Drosophila melanogaster: one gene and its partners. The protein of the gene in region 1 interacts with the protein of each later gene in a pairwise test. Each region holds a gene or a part of one and is shown in the gene's direction. Other genes may lie near its edges.

The links. Proteins that work in one complex are often made in the same cells at the same time.
Region 2: the proteins of Tspo (region 1) and CG15152 interact in a two-hybrid assay, tested with the Drosophila melanogaster proteins (one large-scale study listed by BioGRID).
Region 3: the proteins of Tspo (region 1) and tank interact in a two-hybrid assay, tested with the Drosophila melanogaster proteins (one large-scale study listed by BioGRID).

The regions. Positions count from the first base shown.
Region 1 is NT_033779.5:555,411-562,871, forward strand, and holds Tspo (translocator protein), read left to right. Parts: upstream 1-4,201; 5' UTR 4,202-4,288; coding exon 4,289-4,627; exon of another isoform or gene 4,628-4,686; coding exon 4,687-4,905; 3' UTR 4,906-5,113; downstream 5,114-7,461. Other genes in the region: rempA (reduced mechanoreceptor potential A), read right to left, coding at 1-36, 100-2,255, 2,312-2,472, 2,533-3,131, 3,206-3,352; uncNacbeta (putative nascent polypeptide-associated complex beta subunit), read right to left, coding at 5,384-7,461.
Region 2 is NT_033779.5:18,110,540-18,115,720, forward strand, and holds CG15152 (uncharacterized protein), read left to right. Parts: upstream 1-4,007; 5' UTR 4,008-4,143; coding exon 4,144-4,482; 3' UTR 4,483-4,681; downstream 4,682-5,181. Other genes in the region: CG44476 (uncharacterized protein), read right to left, coding at 2,303-2,531, 2,592-2,596.
Region 3 is NT_033779.5:4,834,835-4,841,926, reverse strand, and holds tank (tank), read left to right. Parts: upstream 1-3,927; 5' UTR 3,928-4,078; exon of another isoform or gene 4,079-4,082; intron 4,083-4,147; 5' UTR 4,148-4,310; coding exon 4,311-4,325; intron 4,326-4,393; coding exon 4,394-4,692; intron 4,693-4,769; coding exon 4,770-5,444; intron 5,445-5,682; coding exon 5,683-6,187; 3' UTR 6,188-6,592; downstream 6,593-7,092. Other genes in the region: CG12194 (uncharacterized protein), read right to left, coding at 734-791, 944-1,043, 1,114-1,232, 1,286-1,763, 1,823-2,350, 2,417-2,624.

The DNA.
Region 1 (7,461 bases):
CTTGGAGATCTTACCTAGGTAGCAGAGTATCTTTACCTTGAGAGGAACAGGATGTTAGTGTATAGTGTTTCGTGGTATCTTAAAGCCTTGCTAATTTACCTGCGAGAACCAGTCCTCCGCCTTGTGGTAGACAGCCAGAGCAGCATCCATGTCGCCGGAGCTCTCAATATACTGGCCCCACCATTTAAGCAGCTTGGGATCGCTGGTGGTCTGGATGTAGCGCTTCATGGCGCCAGGGTTTTCCAAAAGCAGTTGGGTAATATTTTGCGCTGGATTCTGGGTCTTTTCAAAGTACTCCAGAGCTCCCTTGATGTCACCCCTCTCTCGCAGCTCCTGTGCCTTTTGATAGTACGTGTGCTTCAGATGAATCCGATCCTCGGCCTCGGCCAGCTCTACTGCTTCATCCAAGTGCCCAATGGACTGGAGCAGCTTGTTTAGCAAATCGAAGCGCTTGCATCGACGATAAAGATCCTTGGCTTCCTCAATCATTCCGAGTTCTATCGCCAGCACAGCCACCTTGGCTTCCGTCTCCAGATCGTCATCTTCAATCGCTTGGCGTAAGGCACGAACGGAGCGGGCCTGTTCCAAGTGGCCCATGCACACCTTGGCCACGTCCAAGCGATTCGTGTGCACGCACATCTTAGCCAGATTTGTCCAGATCACTTTCGATTGAATCGAGCGAATGCTGCGATAAGCCATATCCATATTTCCCTCTGCGACGTAGAGACTGAAATTCAGGACTTGCTTCCTCGTAACTGGATTGCACTGCTGTAGGTCGACGAAGTCTTGCAGAGGTTGCTCCTCCATCGTATTGATCTTCAGCCGGATCACGTTGGGTACACAAAGGTTCAGTAGCTGGCAGCCTGGGCTCATGGATTGTGTTTCGAGGACATTCAGGCAGCCTTTCTCGGAATAAAACAAAAGGACGACTTTTGACTGCACAAAATGACTGGGTTGCAAGGAGTTCTTCTGGGGCAGGGTCTTCTGAATCATGGACTTGACTTCTGTAGCCAAGAGACGAGGTTCCTCTGCATCCCAGAAAATCCGAACCGGCAAACTTGTCGAAGACTCCTTCTTGGCGTTGGTTTCTGGCTCCAGTAGTCCATATTCAAGAAGATTGCTGCGCTCAAAGTCCCAGCAGAATAAAGTGGATATAGGGGTGAAATTGCTACTGGCTATCACCATGGCCAAGTGGCTGCCGGAGCTATTGCACTTGACCAGAATGAACTCCCCGAAGTCATCGAAAATGTCGTGACCCGATTTGCTGGGAAAGAGCAGCTTGGGATCGTGCCTAGAAACGTCGTAAGCTTTCACATATCCATTCATGGTAAATACCGAGAGATAGCAGCCACTCAAATCCATTCCAATGATCTTTCCTTCAATATCGCTTGCTTGAATGCGGTGAAGCACTACCCCTCCCACGGAGTAAACAAAAACGTCACTGCTACCCAAGCAAAATATGTTCTGGTTGCACAGATTCAAGGCTAAGCATTCGGCAGCAAAGGTCTGCAGGAGTTTCAGACTCAACGGAGTGGTGGTAGATTCCGTCGTCGGTGTTGTGCCCTCCACTGTCTGCAGGATCTCCTCGAACTCATCCAAGCTCTTCTCCACTTTCTGCAGGCTATAGGATGATATGCTCCTGCCATTACTCATCACCAAGCTCAGTTCACTCAAAGCCATGGCAGTCACGGCGAACTCGGACTGAACAATGGCCTCCCGACCGCTGCAGTGCGTCAATTGCACTGATTTGGCTGACCTCTGAACTGCCCACAGTTCGCGGGTATGAACGGCGAGCAGAGGTTGCTCCTTCAGCATGAAAACATTGGAAAGGCAGTTGACCAGCATGCAGGGCTTGGCTAGCTCATTGTATCCCCATTCGCAGCTGCGGATGGCTCCTCGCACGGAAGATATGTTCGTCAGCTGCCAGGCATCTTCGGGGGCACCGACTAGCCTGCTGCCGCTCCTCTTCCAAGTATAGACATTCCCCTGGGACGTTCCTGCACACAGAGTCTGTCCCGTAGAGCTATATGCCAAGCAGGTGAACATTTCGCCGTTCAGCTGGCCGTACTTTGGTGTCTTGCGGAGAACGCCGCTGCTTTCGCTGCTGTCATGGCTAAAGAATTGGTTGGACGAGGACATGGTGCCATTACTTAAAGTGGTCATAGATGAGCCTGGCTGGTTGCCACTGGGTAGGTCCATTTTCAATAGGTAATTGTCGCTTCTCTCGATGTCCCAAATGCGGACGAAAAAATCGCCTGAAAATTAGTCTTAAATTTAGCACAGAAGTGAAAAATCGAATAATATATCCTACCTGTTATGATGGCTAAAGAGTTTCCAGACCACGCGATGCCTCCCTGCCGACCGCCTCCACGTCCGCTCATTTTAACACGATCCAGCTCCGTAAGGATGCCTGTGGATTCAACCAAAAACAAGGTGACTGTCAAGTCCTCCATCAGGCAAATGACGGCGTCCCTAGAATGGAATAATGTTAGGGTTCAGGTAAAGAACCTTTCGATCTCAACAGCTCTTTACTTTCTTGGGTGCCACAACATCTGGACAATGGGAGGCAGTGATCCGCACTTCATCACCTCGACACAGGCGCCTCCTTGGTTGATGTAGTACACCACTCCTCCTTGGGTGCAAGCGTAGAAGCAGTGGTTGTCCCGCACCCCCGAATGGGTCATGCTCCGGGCTGCTGTGCGCGGTCTCCAATTGGTTAGGGTGTCCAGGGCGTTCTCATCGCCTGCCACAGCAGCCTTGGCTAGATTGGCCATCTCCTCGCGCACCTCACTCTCCACCGTAAGGCGGAAGCAGATCAGCAGCAACACCTCCCGCAGGTCGTGGGAGAACATGGTTAGGAACTGGTACTGGCCATCGCAGCGCCATCCGGTGACCAAGCCCATGGCATCCGCCGTGACCATCCGCCCGCCCTGCTCGCTGAACTGCAGCAGGACGATGGCCGCCTTGTGCGGTGCGTTCACGCTGGCAAACTCCCTGTGACCAGCGAACCACACATGGATGTCGCCGTGCTCCCAACCGCTGGCCAGGAGCGCCTTCTCCGGATGCCAGCATAGTGCCGTCGCTTGCGAAGTGGCGTGCACCGGATAAGTTACATCTCGCTGGGGCTCACCCTGCAATTTGATTATATAGATTATATACATTCCGATTTTTGGCAGGGTCTGCGACCAAAGCGATTAATACTGACGGTATCTGCAAAGATGGTCACTGAACCGCCTCTTTCGGGACTAAAAGAGGCCACTGCGAAGAGCGGCTCACTGGGATGCCAGCTGCTGATGGTGCTCACTGCATCCGAGTCCAAGAACTCGATTTTCGTGTCAAAGTAGAGAGTCATCACACCGGTTTTCCACCTTTAGTGGATGAATTTGTTTTGGCAGGAGCCAAAACACAGTAACAATGTGTTTGCCTAGCAACGGTTGTCATGGTTGCTCCTAAGCAATTGATTAATTGAGATACCAACTTGATCCAGGTTATTGGATATTGCAAAGAGCAAATAAGCACAATAGTTTTATTTCACCATTAATTCACTTTACCGACAAATAACTCTTTGGTTTATGAGTTCTCAAGTTATCATTCACCACTTGATCGCACGATTTGTCATGGGGTAAAACAAACAAACAAGCTAAACAAAACTTTTCCAGGGAATTTAATATGGTACTTCCCAACAATACAGTTCTATTTCTATTTTCAAAACTTAACGGGTTTTGTTAAATCTGCCTACCCACAGGGTGATTCCGACACCCAGCAGCGAAGATAATTTTAAATAAATACGAATGGGTAGATATAATTATAATAATTACTTCCATAGATCGACGACATTACTCATTCATTACATCATTTTGGAATCTATTGATAAGCATTATGCTCCTCCCCTGCACATGTGACAACCAGCTATTAACGGCTTAGCAATGACTTTGCAGCTTTGCCAAAATTCCAGATAAATATTAAATCCCTATTAATCAGATAGCATGTTAAAGAAAAACATGAGAATTCCTTCATGGCAGAAATCAAATGTTCACAGCTCTAAATAACCATGCGATTCTATTAATTAATTCTAGCGTCTTTGATTTCAAGTTGCATTCCACATACTTTAGCTAGTTTAAATCTAGCCAAATTGGCATCGCTGGAGCTTACCCACACAATCATCCGTCGCGTATTCGCCCCGTTAACTCGCAATACTCGTGCATTCGAATGAAATCACCGGCAAACAAAACAGTGAAACCAGAAGGTTCGCCACTACTGCGCCTCATTTGCAGTGCGAACTCTGAAAATGGCTGATCGTCCGTGTGCTGGAAACATTCTCCGCATCGCCGGGGCCGTGATTCTGCCCAATCTGGGCGGCATCTATAACGGGCGGCTGACCAGGCAGCATCTCCAGAGCTGGTACGCCAACCTTAAGTTCCCGTCCTTCAAGCCGCCCAACTCGGTCTTTGCGCCGATGTGGATCTCCTTGTACGCGGGAATGGGCTACGGCTCCTACCTGGTGTGGCGTGATGGCGGAGGCTTCGCCGGCGAGGCGGCCAAACTGCCCCTGATCGCGTACGGCACCCAGCTGGCCTTGAACTGGGCGTGGACGCCCATTTTCTTCGGGCAGCACAACATCAAGGGCGTGAGTACTGCTGATATCACCAAGCCCAGGTGTTATGTCTAATCCGCTTCATCCACCAGGGCCTTATTGACATAGTTGCACTCACGGCCGCCGCGTCCGCCTGCGGCGTTCTGTTCTACCGAGTGAACAAGACCGCTGGATTGCTCTTCGTACCCTACGTCGCCTGGCTGGGATTCGCGACGGCTCTGAACTACGCCATCTGGAAGCTGAACCCGGAGAAGGAGCAGGCGCCCAAGGACGAGGAGAAGCCCTCTAGCAGCCACGCTAAGTCGAGTTAAGCCCAGGATAAACGAAAAACAAGTAATTTTGGGTGTCTTTCATGCAAATTGCAGGGCTTTCCGACCTATCGAACCAGGGCTGGGCAAAGTTGGATAAAATATCGATAAGCAGTGCCTCCAATGGGGCGCTAAATTCAAAGTATCATATGCTGCTGCACGTTCAAAAATTCCCTATGTGTTATGTGTTAATAATAAATTAAAGAATCGTAATTTTCAATGCTATTCTCGAGAACGATTAATAGGCTACAATTTGTTGTGACATTGCAATGGAATAACCAAAGATATTGAGAAAGAATTTCTCGATTCACTTCAGTCTTTGTTAAATCATAATTTTATTCAAAAATGTAAAGGCCACAAATAATCAAAAAACGGTTAGTACCCGGGTTCATCAGAGATTAACGAAGGCGAAAATGGGCTCTGAAAATGCGAGTGAGTTTGAAATGCAAGGGCGCCGATTAGAAAATAGACTGAAGGAGGATCAGTTGGGACCCCCAGAGGCGGAAGCAGGATTGGTAGGAGTTCCGGCCTTCGGGGAGGTGGCTTTTGGGGATGCAGCCGATTTCGGGGAGGCTGTGGCCTTCGAGGCGTTCGCCGCCGACTTCTGCTGCCCCCCAGTTGGTCCAGTTTGCTTTGGAGGAGACGCTTTGTTAGCTGCTTTTCCCTGCTGTTGTTGTGGATTCGTCTGGTTGGGGGATGCTTTTGGAGAAGCAGCAGCGGGTTTTGGAGTGGCCTGGGCCGGCTTTGGAGCAACTGCTGGCTTGGCATTGGGGTTCGGCTGTTTCTGCACGCCCTTGTTCCCTCCTGGCCCAGCTGATCCTCCTGCTCCTCCTGGTGGCTGCTTTTGCGGTTGTTGGGGCTTGTTGGCTGGCTGCTGCTGTTTTGTCTTCGTTCCTGCCTCCTGCTTCTTGATTCCCGCTTGGGGAGCCGCCGACTGTTTCTGAGGCGGAGTAACTACAGCAGGCGACGGAGGAGTCACCGTGGCGGGAGATGGAGGAGTCACTGTCGCTGCAGAGGGCGGCACCGAGGTGGGAGTCGATGGCGGAGTGGAGGGAGCCAGAGGAGATGGCGCCTCAGCAGGAGTGGCAGGTGCTACCGGAACTGTTGCCGTCACTGGTTTTGTGGGTGGTGGTGATTCCTTCTTGGGTGCAGCCTTCGGTTCCTCAATGGCCTTTGGCGCATCCGCTGGTTTTTCAGAAGCGAGAGCAGCCTGACCCTGAGGTTGTGCAGGTGCCTGAGAAACGTTGGGGACTTCCGGTGCTAGCGTTTTGATAACTTCTGGAACTGGAACTGGTGCATCCTGTTTAGCTGGTGGTGCATCCTGCTTAGCTGGTGGTTCATCCTGCTTAGCTGGTGCTACTTCCTGTTTAACTGGTGGTGGAGTCTTTTGTTGTGGCGCTGAATCCTGTTTAGGGGCACCCTTTGGTGGTGAATCCTGTTTGGGAGCACCCTTTGGTGGGGAATCCTGTTTGGGAGCACCCTTTGGTGGGGAATCCTGTTTGGGAGCACTCTGTGGTGGTGATTCCTGTTTTGGAACATTCTTCGGTGGGGATCCCTGCTTGGGAGCGCTCTTAGGAGGTGAGTCCTGTTTGAGAGCACTCTTGGGTGGCTCAGCAGTGGTGACTGGTTGTGGTGCCGATGGAGTAATCGCTGGCTCTACCTTAGCTGGACCAGACGAGTCTTTTTTCTGCTCCTCAGCTTTGGGAGCGGCAACAGCTTCATTGGCTGGTTTCTCCGCAGGCAAAGCCACAATCTGGGCGAGAGTCTGGACAGCAGGAGGAGCGGACTTCTGGGGTTCTGGTGTCGGTACCACTGGCTTAGCTTCACTTCTCTCCGCCGTGGGTTTGGCCTGAGTGTTCTGATCCAATTGCTTTTGAGCTGGTTTCGGATGTTCCACCTTGGACTCTTTGGTTTTGGTCTGTTCAATGGGTTTGGCCTTGTCCACCTGCTTCTCTGCCGATTTGGGTTCAACTTTCTGGTCAGTGGACTTGGTCTCGGCGGGCTTTGGTTGTTGCGCCTTTTGAATCGCACCGTTGGCTTCAATCTTCTGGTCAACTGCGAGCACTTGATCCTTTTTCTGCTGTACAGCGGGCTTCGAAGGATTCTGTTTGAGAGCTTGTGCAGCCTGTGTCGTTTCCTTGTTGGCTTGGGGAGCAGGCTGACCCTTGGCCTGATCCTTGCTTTTATTGGTCTTGTCCTTGTTGGTCTGTGGATCACCCTTCTTGTTATTTTTGGCCTGACCCTTCTTATTTTCCTGTTTCTCTTTGGGATTCTCGCTGGGATTGGTTGTCTCCGGCACTTTCGCTGACTGCTTCTGTTCCTTCTTAGGCTGCTGCTGCTGCTTATCCTTGGCTTTGATCTCCGCAGATTCCTTTGGCTCATGTACTGGCTGCTTGGTCGCCTCCACCTTGGCCACCTCATCGAAATCGCCAACGAGCAAGGGAACATCGTCATCCTCCTCCGCTGGGAGAGGTCCATCTCCGCTTCCCGGCGCCCCCTTTTGACTGTTCATGGCATTGGCATACATCCGCAGCTGGACGACTGTCTCCTGGCCCAGCT
Region 2 (5,181 bases), about 18 Mb from region 1:
ATCCAGTGACCCTGGCAAAATTGTTACCGAGATGTGCTTTATTTGCATCAGTATTAAATGCAATTAATAAATAATGAGCACACCGGCATGGCGTGTAAACTCAGCAGAGAAGTGGAGCTGTGTCCGTGACAAGTTGTCCTGCACGCTTAACTTGATGTGGAGACAACAAGTGACCGGCAGGGAAATTAGTTACGGTGTCGCACAAGGACAAGACCAGGACTCAGAACTAATCCTTCGTCCTCCGACTGGTGGCCATATGTGTGTGAGTCAGTGCCTCGCATGCCAGATCCGTCATCATTAGTTGAATATGTCACAACAGACACTTGGCCCAATTGATTTAGTGTCATGCACTGAGCTCAACAGTTCACTTGCCTTCTGCTGCCATTTGGCAGCTATACTCGTCCTTGTACACGTCTTCCTTTGCCAGTTGTTGGCCGACATTCCCCGTTGACACTCTACGGCCAAAGATCGATGGCGTACAGAAATCAACGGGAAGTGAATTTCAAACAGTTGCGTAATTAACTTGGGGGCTTCATTAATCAAACACGCAGGCAAACATGAGAAGCACTTGAAATGGAATTATATATGCCAAAATTGAATATGCATTTTACATTCGGCTAACAAGATTAACTGATAAGCCGGATCTACGATTGTCGAGATTATTTTGTGTGTGGGCGTGACAATTATGGTTGTTAGAGTGGGCGTGGCAATCTTCTGAAAAGCCTGCCTACCTGGACTTTCGTACTTTTACAGTTCCCAAAATTAAAGCGCTAAAACGGACAGATGAACCGAACAGATAGACACGGAAAAGATCCTGATGAATATGCATAAGACACTTACCTGTTACAAACTGTGCAGCGAACGAATCTACTATATCCCTTTACTTTGCGAGTACGGGGTGCTGGGGTGGATTTCAAATGTTCATTGTTCTATAAATATTACTATCCGTATTAACTACCTGATTCAATATAGCTTACAGAGGCTTAGATGTTATTAAGCACGTGTATAACAGACAGAAACAACCAATAGCTTACGGCTTAACATTGGACGCTGCGTCTCGTCCTGATGAATATTCATGATCTCCGGGCATCCTTGCCGACCACTTGAAAGTTAGCCTGCTCTGCAGTTTGTCCGCCATGCCGAAATTATAATTCCAGCTCGCTCGTAACTCGCACAAACGTCAGTCTCATTAATTTTGGGCAAGTTGCAGTTTTAAAATTTAGTGCCGGCCCCCAAGTTAATTAACACCTGAGCCTCGGCAGCCGCCACCAAAGTGGGCGGGAAATGGGCTGGGAAAATCGAGCTGGTTTCAGCCACTTCAGTCACACTTTTGTGCTCGGCAGCCGTGTGCACTGACGCAAAGCGGAAGTGGCACTTTTCCCAGTTGAAGCTGGAGCGGAATTTCAGAATGGATGGGGGGATGGAAAATGGGAGCGGGGAATAAGGAATGGGTAATGGGGATCGGTAGCTGCCAGCAGCAGGCGTATCGAAAACCGAAACTTTTGATGGAAAAAGTTTGCAACAACAAACGCATGTTGGCGGGCAAAACAGGCAAGCTAAAAAGCTGAATAGCCGCGGCAAGGGCGCCTTTAAACCATCAAGTAAGTCGCTATAATTCGCGCGCACCGCCTCATGAATTTTTGATTCTTTCTTAGCATTTTTCACTCCGCCAGTCATTCTATCGCTTTCCATTTAATCTGAGTCTTAGCTTTGAATAATGAGCCCTGGCCAAGGTGCGAAGAACTGGGCCAAACTCGAGGGGGTTATCTATAAGCCGGGTTGATATGAAAAGTTCACACTGGGTAAGTAATTGCCTAATTCGAATGCATCGAAATGATAAAGTGAATTTAGTGTACCTTTCGAAAAATAAAAGTAACAATCTCCCATTAAAAAAACACAAACAGTAGACAGTCTGATTTTCGATATTATTTAAAAGTGAACACATTGTTGCACAATCGGTAAACAAGATCCGGAGTAGATCATCGAGCAAGATGTACAAGTTTTGTTGATGCGCTGAAGGAACTAAAAATGCCACAGAGGCAACTGCGAGTTTTCTCATATTTTTTTCCGCCGACTCTGCACTTTCTTTAAAAACCGCTGACTGATGCATGCTGATGACTTTGTCAACAACTTAAATTGTTTGGTGGCAATAAAGTGGACTGAAGTTTAAGTACATTTAGGACAGAAGGCAGCTTTCATTTTCTTCTAATGCAAACAAGTTAGCCCAGCTAAGCAGGATACATAATGCAATCAAATTAACTAGCGCTTGATACGTACTCAAAATCATTTTAAAATCCCTTTTTTAATTCCATCGTTTGTAGATGTATATGGACAGAACAATTAAAAGCATGCAAAAATTATAAAGAACACATAAGCCAACGAAATTAAAGTTTTGCAAAAAAGTATATGGCCTTGAGTCTTCCTCAGTTAATATTTCCATATTAGAGTCGTTATGAATCGCATCGGTTTGTTCTTGGTCCACTCCGTTGAGGGTGCAACTATCTCTATCCAATAAGACATCTTTTTCTTCACTTTAAATAAACAAATTATCACTTTAATGCTTTTGAAATACTTTCAAATAAGTATTATACCCCATTTTTTTGGAGGCACTCTGATCTTTTCAGCTTGAAGGCTCTGTATAAACTGGATGAAGGCACTCATCTGCAAACATGAAAAAATATTCAAGGGAATCGAATTCAAGAACGGAGGCACACTGTACTAAAATCTTTCGGATCGTATGCAGCTTGCACCATTAAAAATGATAATATATTGACAAATTTTTAAGGGACTACCGTCCTAAGTAAAACTATATAAGAGGTATCTGTAAAGTAAGTCTGAGATCACAAGTACATTCATTAGATAAATAACTAAAATTAGTGTAAGAAAAAATATGAACTAATAAAATAATTATTTAAGAAAATTTCTGAGAGGAGTAAACTCACCATAAGAACCCTAGAAAGGGTATTTGTAAGTAAAAACCAAAGCTTTCAGAGAATTTGACTGAAACTAAGAGACAACATTAAAGAGAACCTCTCAAGACGGAAATATATACAGCTGCGGTTAAAATAATAGCACTACTGGAGGTGGAAAGTTCATTTCCTAAAAATAATTATTAAATGTTTATATTTTTTAAAGTCAGATTGCATGAATAATAAGTACCATATGTTGGCTCTCTGAGCAAGAAATTTATGGTCTCTCAATGTAAAGGTTCTTTTTGTTTTTGGGCACTTGCTGCAAAAGTGCGCGAAATGAGGCGGTAACAAAAATAGCACTGACCACGTATTTGCTGAATAATAGAGTGATTGCTTTGGGTTTTTTTCGACAAATTTTGAAAAAGGAGTTGTATTAAAGGTTTTAATTGAATTTTTTCCAAACGAAGACCAAAAGTTCTCTAGTCATGGGTCGCGGCAAGCATTTTACCGTCGAAAAAAGAAATTTGATTAAAAACATGATCTCTAAAGGTAAAAAATACGCTGAAATTGGTGGCATTGTGGGTTGTTCAAGCTAAATGATCCGCAAAGCACTGCTGTTTGTCGAAAAGAACGAAACACGGCGAAGAAAGCCCTCAATGTCGCTTGGTTAGGCAAGGCAAGAAGGAGCCTTTAAAGCCGGCGACGGAACTGAAGAAGGAGCTTCAGATAGCTGAAAGCGGGGAAACTGACAAAAAAGAGAATCTCTCAAGACGGAAACAGAGTGCCAGAAGTATATAAGTACTGAAATGCCTAATATATGAATGTAAAACATTTATCGCTTTTAATAGATTGTTATCAAAGTTGATAGGGTTTGATGATTCGTAAGTAAGCATAAATTGATAACGTAGAACAAATTGATCTCTCTTCGCAATCTCTTACTTCAATGTGATTTTCTTGTCATTTTGAGACTCTTCTCCGCTCTCGTTTGACGGGTTTTCTCAGACTTATATAGTTATCTTATCTGAGTCACAAGCAACAAAAAGAAGATTGTCAGCTCTTGACGGTTCACTGTTTGCCTTGTTGTTGCCTCAATTACCACCTTCTGCCGTGGCGATAATAACCCAGACCCCAAACTGATTGGTAATCATGAAAAAGAGGGAAGGAAAAAACCGCTGAAAATGCCCGGAGACCAGCGAATCGCTCTTTAGTCGAGAGCAGAACGCGTTTTGAAATGGACACGGATGAGACTAAGGCTGGAACCTCGGGTCCGGGGACGTACCACGATGAGGTTGACTTTACCAGCGGATACGAGACTCAGTATAAGAAGGAGTACAGCCCGCTGAAACCGATTTTTGTACCGCCGCCGGATAAAAAGCACGCCTGGTTTCGCAACTGGTCCACCATACTGATGGTCAGCTTCCTGTCCGGGGTGTTTATTCTGGGAACCGTGATGCTGGTGGTCCAAGTTTTCACCGCCAGTCCCCTGCAGATCTTCATGATCGTGGCTATATATGTGGCTATAGCCGCTGTGATGATTTGGCTGGAGGTGCAGTCTATAAAAGTGCGGTGAAATAATATGTACGTGTCGTGACTAATTTAGAGCGTTATCGCACTTACGAGCTACGTTCTGTTTTCAAACAGTGGCAATCGAACTGTGTTCTGCTAGCAAATGCAAAGCTTAACTAAAAAGGAAGCGGCTTTACTGATTAGGCGCTAAGAACAAAAAATCATGATTTAATATAAGTTCAAAGTAAAGAAAGAAATCCCATAATCCATGTGTTTTATTTTTGACTAGACAGTGCTTTTAACGTTTTCCGATAATTCCGGTTCAATTAACTAATTATTTACGGCCCATAAATGAACGTAATCTAGAGAGCGAAACAAGGTGGCCAGATAAAGGGCTTTGTGTGAGATAAGCAAACAAAAGTGAACGAAAGAATCACGAATTCAAGCCATTTAACTGCAAAATAAATACGCATTTTGTTTGTCGATGTATAAAGGACAAATGTTGTAGTGACACATTAAAGCTCCATACATCACAGAGATTAACAAAGCAAAGTACATAAAAAAGATTCCCTTATCAATTAACTAATTAAATTAAGCACGCTAATTAAAAATTCATTAATAGCGGCTTAGCGATGGAGAGTGGAAATTCAATTATTTAACGCTGTTGTTTATTAAAGGAAGTGTCACAAACCGCATCTGCGCCGGTGTTTGGCACACAAAATTATTAAAATTATTTCCACTCTCACTTGAAAAAGAAAAAATA
Region 3 (7,092 bases), 4.3 Mb from region 1:
TGCAGCTAAATGAAAAGCCTCGAAGCGGCCCTAACTTGATAATATGGCCCAAATGAAATGGAATGCATTTTTAGTAACTCAATAGAGAATGACACGTTTTTAGTTGGAAATTTGTTTCTCATCCTTACGCAAACTTTGTTTCTCCCAACCAAATAATTCTCAAAACGGAAATGGAAATGTATTAATTCATCTATGTGTTTTATTATTATTATTTTGTAATTCTCTTGTGACTTGCGCTGAATGTCACTTTTCAAGATTTGAAATTGTATTTTGTTTTCTCTAGTCTATGCATCATAGAAATTTGTATACTATTTTGTTAAATTCACACCAAATTCTTTGAATTTCTGTTTATGCTTTAGTTAATTTATTTTATTTATTTTGTACAAATACAAATCATATATTCTTCAAAAAGATATTTGCAAGGAAATAAAATGGAATCAAGATCAAAACACACCTTCTTTCGCCCAAAACTCCAAATCTTTGGTTATTTAATTTGGTTAATGTACATTTACATAAATTTATTTATCACACACAATGGAACATAAATATAACAATAGTTTAAAGTTTGATATGTATCATCATAGAACGTTGGCTAGGAGGAGTAAAATAGATCGAATGACCACGTCGATTGTGCGGCTAGCAGAATGTGCTCCGAGTTGCATAACAAGTCAAGTGTAGTGGAAATGGCATTAGCATCGCAATTGGTTATTGGTTAGTAACAAACAGAATCGATCTATTGCACATAGTTGCCCAATAAAGGCCGCCTGTTCATGTGGCGGCACTGCATCGCGCTTTTGGCATGTACACAAAGCAAATATACATTTAGAAAAAGAACGTTAATTAGTCAGGGGCTGAAGTGGAGAAGTGTCATCATCGGATATGGGATTAGAACACAACAGCAAGACATCAATAGCATGCTCAACTCGACTCAATATTCACGTACATCGAGGTGTGGTATGTGGCCCGCTGGGCAGGTGACATGTTCAAGTTGCCCTGGTGCTTGCGGTTGTAGGCCCAAATCGCACAGGTGGCCAGCAGGGAGACTGGAAAATGCGATGGAATTAACTCGTATTCAACACACAGCGCATACATATGAGCAGATTAGACTCTTACCCAGCAGGAAGGACATGAAGAATACCTGCAGCCAGAAGTGACTGCCGCCGCTGCTGTCCACAATGATGCCCGCTGCAATGGTCACCACCGCTAGTCCCAGATTCTGCACAGACTGACAGCTGCAAAGGGAACGATTAAGGATTGAACAGCTTGAACAGATTAATGATCTTACAAGCCATATGCAGTGCCCAGTTGATATTCGGGCACAATCAATGAAACCAGGGGCCACAGACTGGCTGCCAACATGGAATAGGACAGTCCCATTATGCTCATCCCGATGTACGGATCCAAATGGGTGAAGGTCAGCAGGAAGTGAGCTAGCAGCGTGGAGATGGTGGCACAGAACACCCAGGTCACATTCCTTCCGACCTTGTCAATCACAAATCCAAACAGTGGCGATGCTATAGCAGAGATCAGGTAGACAATCGAGTTTACTGTGTTCGCCTCATCCGGCGTCATGTGGAAATTGCTGACGAAGAAGGCCTGGCCAAGAGCCACGAAAGGAAAGATGGCAACGTAGTAGGCCACACATACCACGGACACCATCCAGAAGTCCAGCTTGAAGGTGACTATATCGCTTAGTTTGGCCAATTCTCCACCAGGATTGTTATTTCGCTTAAGGATTCTCTCCGCGCGCTTGTCCATCCAACCTAAGTAAACGTGAAATCGAATAATATAAACTGATATTTAAATACACAAGTAATCCTACCTAGAATCAAGGTGCAAACCAGGGACATGACGCACGTTGAGGAGGCCAGGAACAGGGCCACGCCCAGACCCTTGTAGCCGGAATAGGATTTCGAAACGTATCCATATAGTGGTTGCATAATCCAAAAGTTGACGGTGCTGCCGAAACGGGCTACCGACAACTGCAGTCCAAAGACCATGTTAATCTCCTTGCCCTTGAACCATAGCACCGCATAGCTGTTTTGGGCCACAGCCAGCGACTCAGCCCCGATGCCGAAAACAAAGCGTCCCACGATCATCAACCAAAAGTGGCCCAGGACTCCGCCGGTGGCGAAGATCAACTGGCCAACGAGCACGATCAGCATGTAGATAATGGTGCCCAGGCGGATGCCAAACACCCGGTCGATGAGGAAGCCGCCCACAAAGCAGAGCACAATATTTGGCCACGAGTAGATGGAGTAAATCAGCGTGAACTCGGTGGAGCTGAGTTGCAGTTCCTTTTGGAAAACGTCCTGCAGTGCGCCGGGATTATCGTAGCAAAAATAGGAACCTATTAAAGGAGTTATTTAAGTAGGTATGGTCCCAAGTGTTGTTGCAAAGGAATTCACGTTCTTACCAAAACCCAAGAGGCACATAAAGAGCAGGGCGAGGAAGCGATGTGGCGTGCTCGTCGGATCACAGCATCCGGCATCCTTCTGGTGACCGGCTAGCTCTGTGTCCCGAGTGCTGCGTCGCCGCACCACAGGATGCACTTCGTCATCGCTGCTGCTGCAGGTGCTGCTGCTCGACGAGCTAACGATGGGTTTGCGCTCCTCGCGTGACATTATTGCCACTTTTCGTTGACAGAATGATGGAGGGTTGACGGGAAATTTGAGTTGTGCGATGGTAATTGCTATTTGTGGCTGCTCCTCTTTTCCGGAATTCCTGTTCCTCGACCGGTGGTGGGTGGTGGGCGGTAGGCGGGGGGTTGGGGGCGGGCTGTGGCCCTACTGTTGCTGCTTATCACTAGACCACACCATAATTCCGTGTTGTTGTTGTTGCTGCTGTTGCCTCAGTATTTGTGCAGTATTGATTATTCCCGCACACAGAGATGATGGAAATTGGAAAGGTTGGAATGGGGGGTGTTTCGGTTAATCTGCAAAAAAGCCAAGATTGAAAATTGCATTCCCACACACACAAAACATTTTACGCCCTCTCTCACACACACACACTCATACACATGCAGATGCAGGTATGTACATATATGTCACGGGTGGGTGTGCGTTAGTGTGTGCTTGCTAGGTAAACATGAAAGATCTCGTTGTCCGTTGGCTGACTAACGGTTAATGGGTAATCAATTAAGCGCTTGCATGCGCATAACATTTAGTTGACACCTGATTTAAGGCTTTACTACGCTATTTGCGTATTGAAAGCAGCTCTACTGTGGTATAAATTCGATATGTACACACACCCACGTCAATAAATAGGCATATGTAAATGCCGTATATCAACAACAAAAAAAAGGGATTAACAAGCAAATGCCCCGTTATCGCAGTCAACAAACGAAGTCACACACTAATTAATCACTAGTCCACGGTCTTATTTTGCATTATTTACATTCGATATTTTCGAATTGCGATTGTGGCGGGCTTACGATCCAGGAAAACTTTACTTAATATTTCTTGATGTATTTATGTTGATTATCAACAATGTATTGTGATGAGAAAGTCCTATCACGCCTACTATATGTTCAACAAGTCGTGGACTTACGGTTTATTTCTGTCCCCTGTCGGGAGAAGAATGGTCGGTATTACCTGGTTTCCCTACCTGTAGCTGTAGAAATGGAAGTGGGCATTGAGCTCTTGATATCGATATATCGATTACCTTGGGAATATCCTTACGAAAAACCGTTACTATCATTACGTTTTAACGGATTTGCGAAACATAAGCACTTGCTAAAAAAGTTTGCTTCGATTTATTAAGAATATCAAATGGATTACCAAACACATTCGTATGAGATGCAGAAAAATAAAACTATTTATTCGTCACCATTGAAAACCACAACAATTTATTGTCTTATAATAACGGTAAAATTCATAACTATCGATAGTTAACAACACTGCCCGCCTGTGCATCACTGACCAGTGCTGCAAAACGACCGCAGCGCATCAGGTGGCAACCGTGTGTTCCTACACCAAGCAAAACAACTATTTTATTATTAAATTCAGCACAAAGTTCAATGATTATTAGGTCCTCTGCACACTCACTATTCGATCAGCAAGCACTGGCACAGCGATAAGTATGTAAGTTAAAGTTTCAAAATGGTACAAAGCCAACCAAATGTGCGGGCGCACGCTATTTTGTGCAGTGTAAAGGCGCCAACGATGTTGTCTTCGTCTCGCACAACGCAAATTTATTCAAAGACCCACTGCCACATTTTGATACGCTCCCGAGCAGCTAAACACGTTTCGTATGCTTGCATGTCCATTTCGTAATGCCCCCGATCAGGAACTAAGGTCTGTCCACCCGAGATGGCGGCGATAAAGGTGAGTTTGCGACTGCCCTTTTGGAGCACACAGACAATGGCCCAACTAAATGCGTTGTACAACCACAGAACATCACCCTGGGCATTCTGTACGGCCTGTGGGACAGCATACGTGGCATGACACTGGTCCTGCACATCGACGACGAGGTGAACCGCCAGAATGCCGAGCAGGAGCACCGCCAACAGCTGCGTCGCACCGACAAGGATCGTTACGAACGCGCCAGGAGATCACCGTCACCAGTGCCCAGTTCCGCGGCTGCCATGATTCGGGAGGAGTATGCCAAGCAGGCGGAGGAGAACGCCGACGAGCGGACGCTAGAGAAGATCCTGGGCAAGAAGCCAGCCGCCCAGGATCAACACCCGCAGGGGTATGTGTTACACAAAGACTCATTCCACGTACATGTAATTTTAAACTGCGCACTTGATTTTTAATCCGGCGACACAGGGAGAAGAAGATCGCCAAGAAGCTGTTCAAGTGCTGCATGCTCAATGGCGGTTTCACCTGGCTGAGCATCGTCCTGTTCGAGAACGCTCTGCTGCCCACGCTCAAATTCTGCCTTACCATCTTCTATGGAGCCCATTCCGAGACCCTGCCGGTGGTTTGGGGCTGGCTGCATCCCATACTGTCCCTGCTCTTCGGCATGATGTGGGTGCTGCCCATATTCATGCTCTCCAAGATTGTGAGCTCTCTGTGGTTCGCGGACATAGCCAATGCCGCGTATCGCGTGAGAAAGGGTCGCCCGCAGCTAATCCCTGGAATTAGCAAACTGGTGGCCGACTTCCTATTCAGCATGGTGGTGCAAATGCTGTTCCTGGTACAGAGCATGCTGGTTAACCTAGTGCCTGTGAAATATGTGGGCTCCTCGCTGTGCTTCGTGCATCTGTGCCTGCTCTACTCACTGTACTCCTTCGAGTACAAGTGGTTCAACATGGGCTGGGAGCTACATAGACGACTCACGTACATTGAAAAGAACTGGCCCTATTTCTTCGGCTTCGGAATACCGCTCACCGTGCTGACAAATCTGTCCAGCTCGGTGATCGTCAGTAGCTGCATCTTCTCCATCTTTTTTCCCCTGTTCATACTCAGCGGCAATGAGGCAAAACCCATTGTGGACACCACGTAAGTGTTTTTGGTTTGGTAACACAGTCCAGCTTCACTAAATCGAACTTCTGGAAAATGTAAACTGGAAAGTGATGTAGTTCATGTTCAAACTATCACGCAATTTTAGTTGGACGTCTTCATGTAATGTAATGTAATTCGTTTTTCCTTTGTTCGTGACCAGCACGTATCGATTTAGAGAAGCTCTTCTGTACTATATCTATAAATATAAATAACTAAATATTTGACATCCACCCAGTGAGGTCTCCCTGCGTCTCTTCTCGCCGGTGGTCTTCATATCGAACCTCTGCTTCGGCGGCAATCCGTGGAGCAAGGCCAATCGACTGAGTGCCATGCAGCGGCAGCAGTATGAGCTGCAGCAGCGACAGCGTTTGCTCCAGCGGGACGAGCAACTGCTCAAGCAGCGCAAGCAGCAATATGTGCAGCAGCAACGGCTGCAACAGGAGCAGCTAATGCGACGTGATCGCTCGCATTCGCGATCACAGACACCGCAGCTGGGACATCCGCATCGCTACGCCCAGGCGCCCGTTTTCGATGCGGGTCGGGTGCGCGATTCCTCCGCCTCGTCAACGCACAGCTCCAATGCGCCGAGCATTAATAGCCATCGGCCGCCGCCTTATTACGGCAGCTCGCTGCGCGGAGCTGCGCCTTTGGTGCCCACTCCTGTGCCCGGTGCACCGAGAGCTCCGCTAACCCCGCCCGTGATACGCCAGGAGTCGGGGCCCGATGACTGGAACTTGTGAGATTTATGCTTATACACGCAACGTAGGCTTTAGCTATATATAATTCGATCTGTGTAATCTACGTATCATCTACCTATCTAACCATCGTGAACTGTGTAAGTTAAAGATAACTCTAGGTCTACGCATAATGACAATGTTCGCTAGTCGACAACGCCACCGCCACCACCACCACCAACACAACGCCCTATTCGGAATGGGCATGACTATATATATATAGACTATAGAGTGGCTATATCTGAAATGCGGCTCGCGCAACTGCTGCATAATCGTTTACATGTTTATTTTAGTCGTCGTTTTTCTCTTTAATTTTTGCTCGTAGGGTGATATGCTCTACACTAGAAATTACGTCGGGCGTAAAGTTCGTTAAATGTATAATTAATCAAAAATAAAATTAATTTTGTACTTTCGTCAATTGTTGTTGCTTGCTTGCCTAATGGGGAGCGCTTGGCCAAGCCTTATCAGTGCGATTTGTCTCGACTAGATTATAGATTGTGTGAGTCAGAAGTAATCTAAAATAGTTGCTAATTTCGTTTCGTTTGATGACTGTCACAGTTTTTAATAAGGATCACTTCCTATTTTTAAATCAGAAGTTCCTATAATAGCTTTGCCCAATTTATGACCCTATTCCCAATGTTTCCACTCCACCAATTCGAATAATAATTTCATGATGATTTGACAATATAACAGCTACTTAGTACCACATAATAACTCCCCCCCGAACTGAATCCTCCTTCCCTAACCGCCACCAATTAACGCTTGAGTTACAGCGCACGAACAATCGAACCAGGATATGGGTTCACGCTTGGATTGGGGTGTTGCTGATGTGGCGTTGTGGGCGATTGCCGACCAAATTGATTATCACCAAGGTAACACCCATGTGTCCACACATTGTTCTGCTTGAAAGT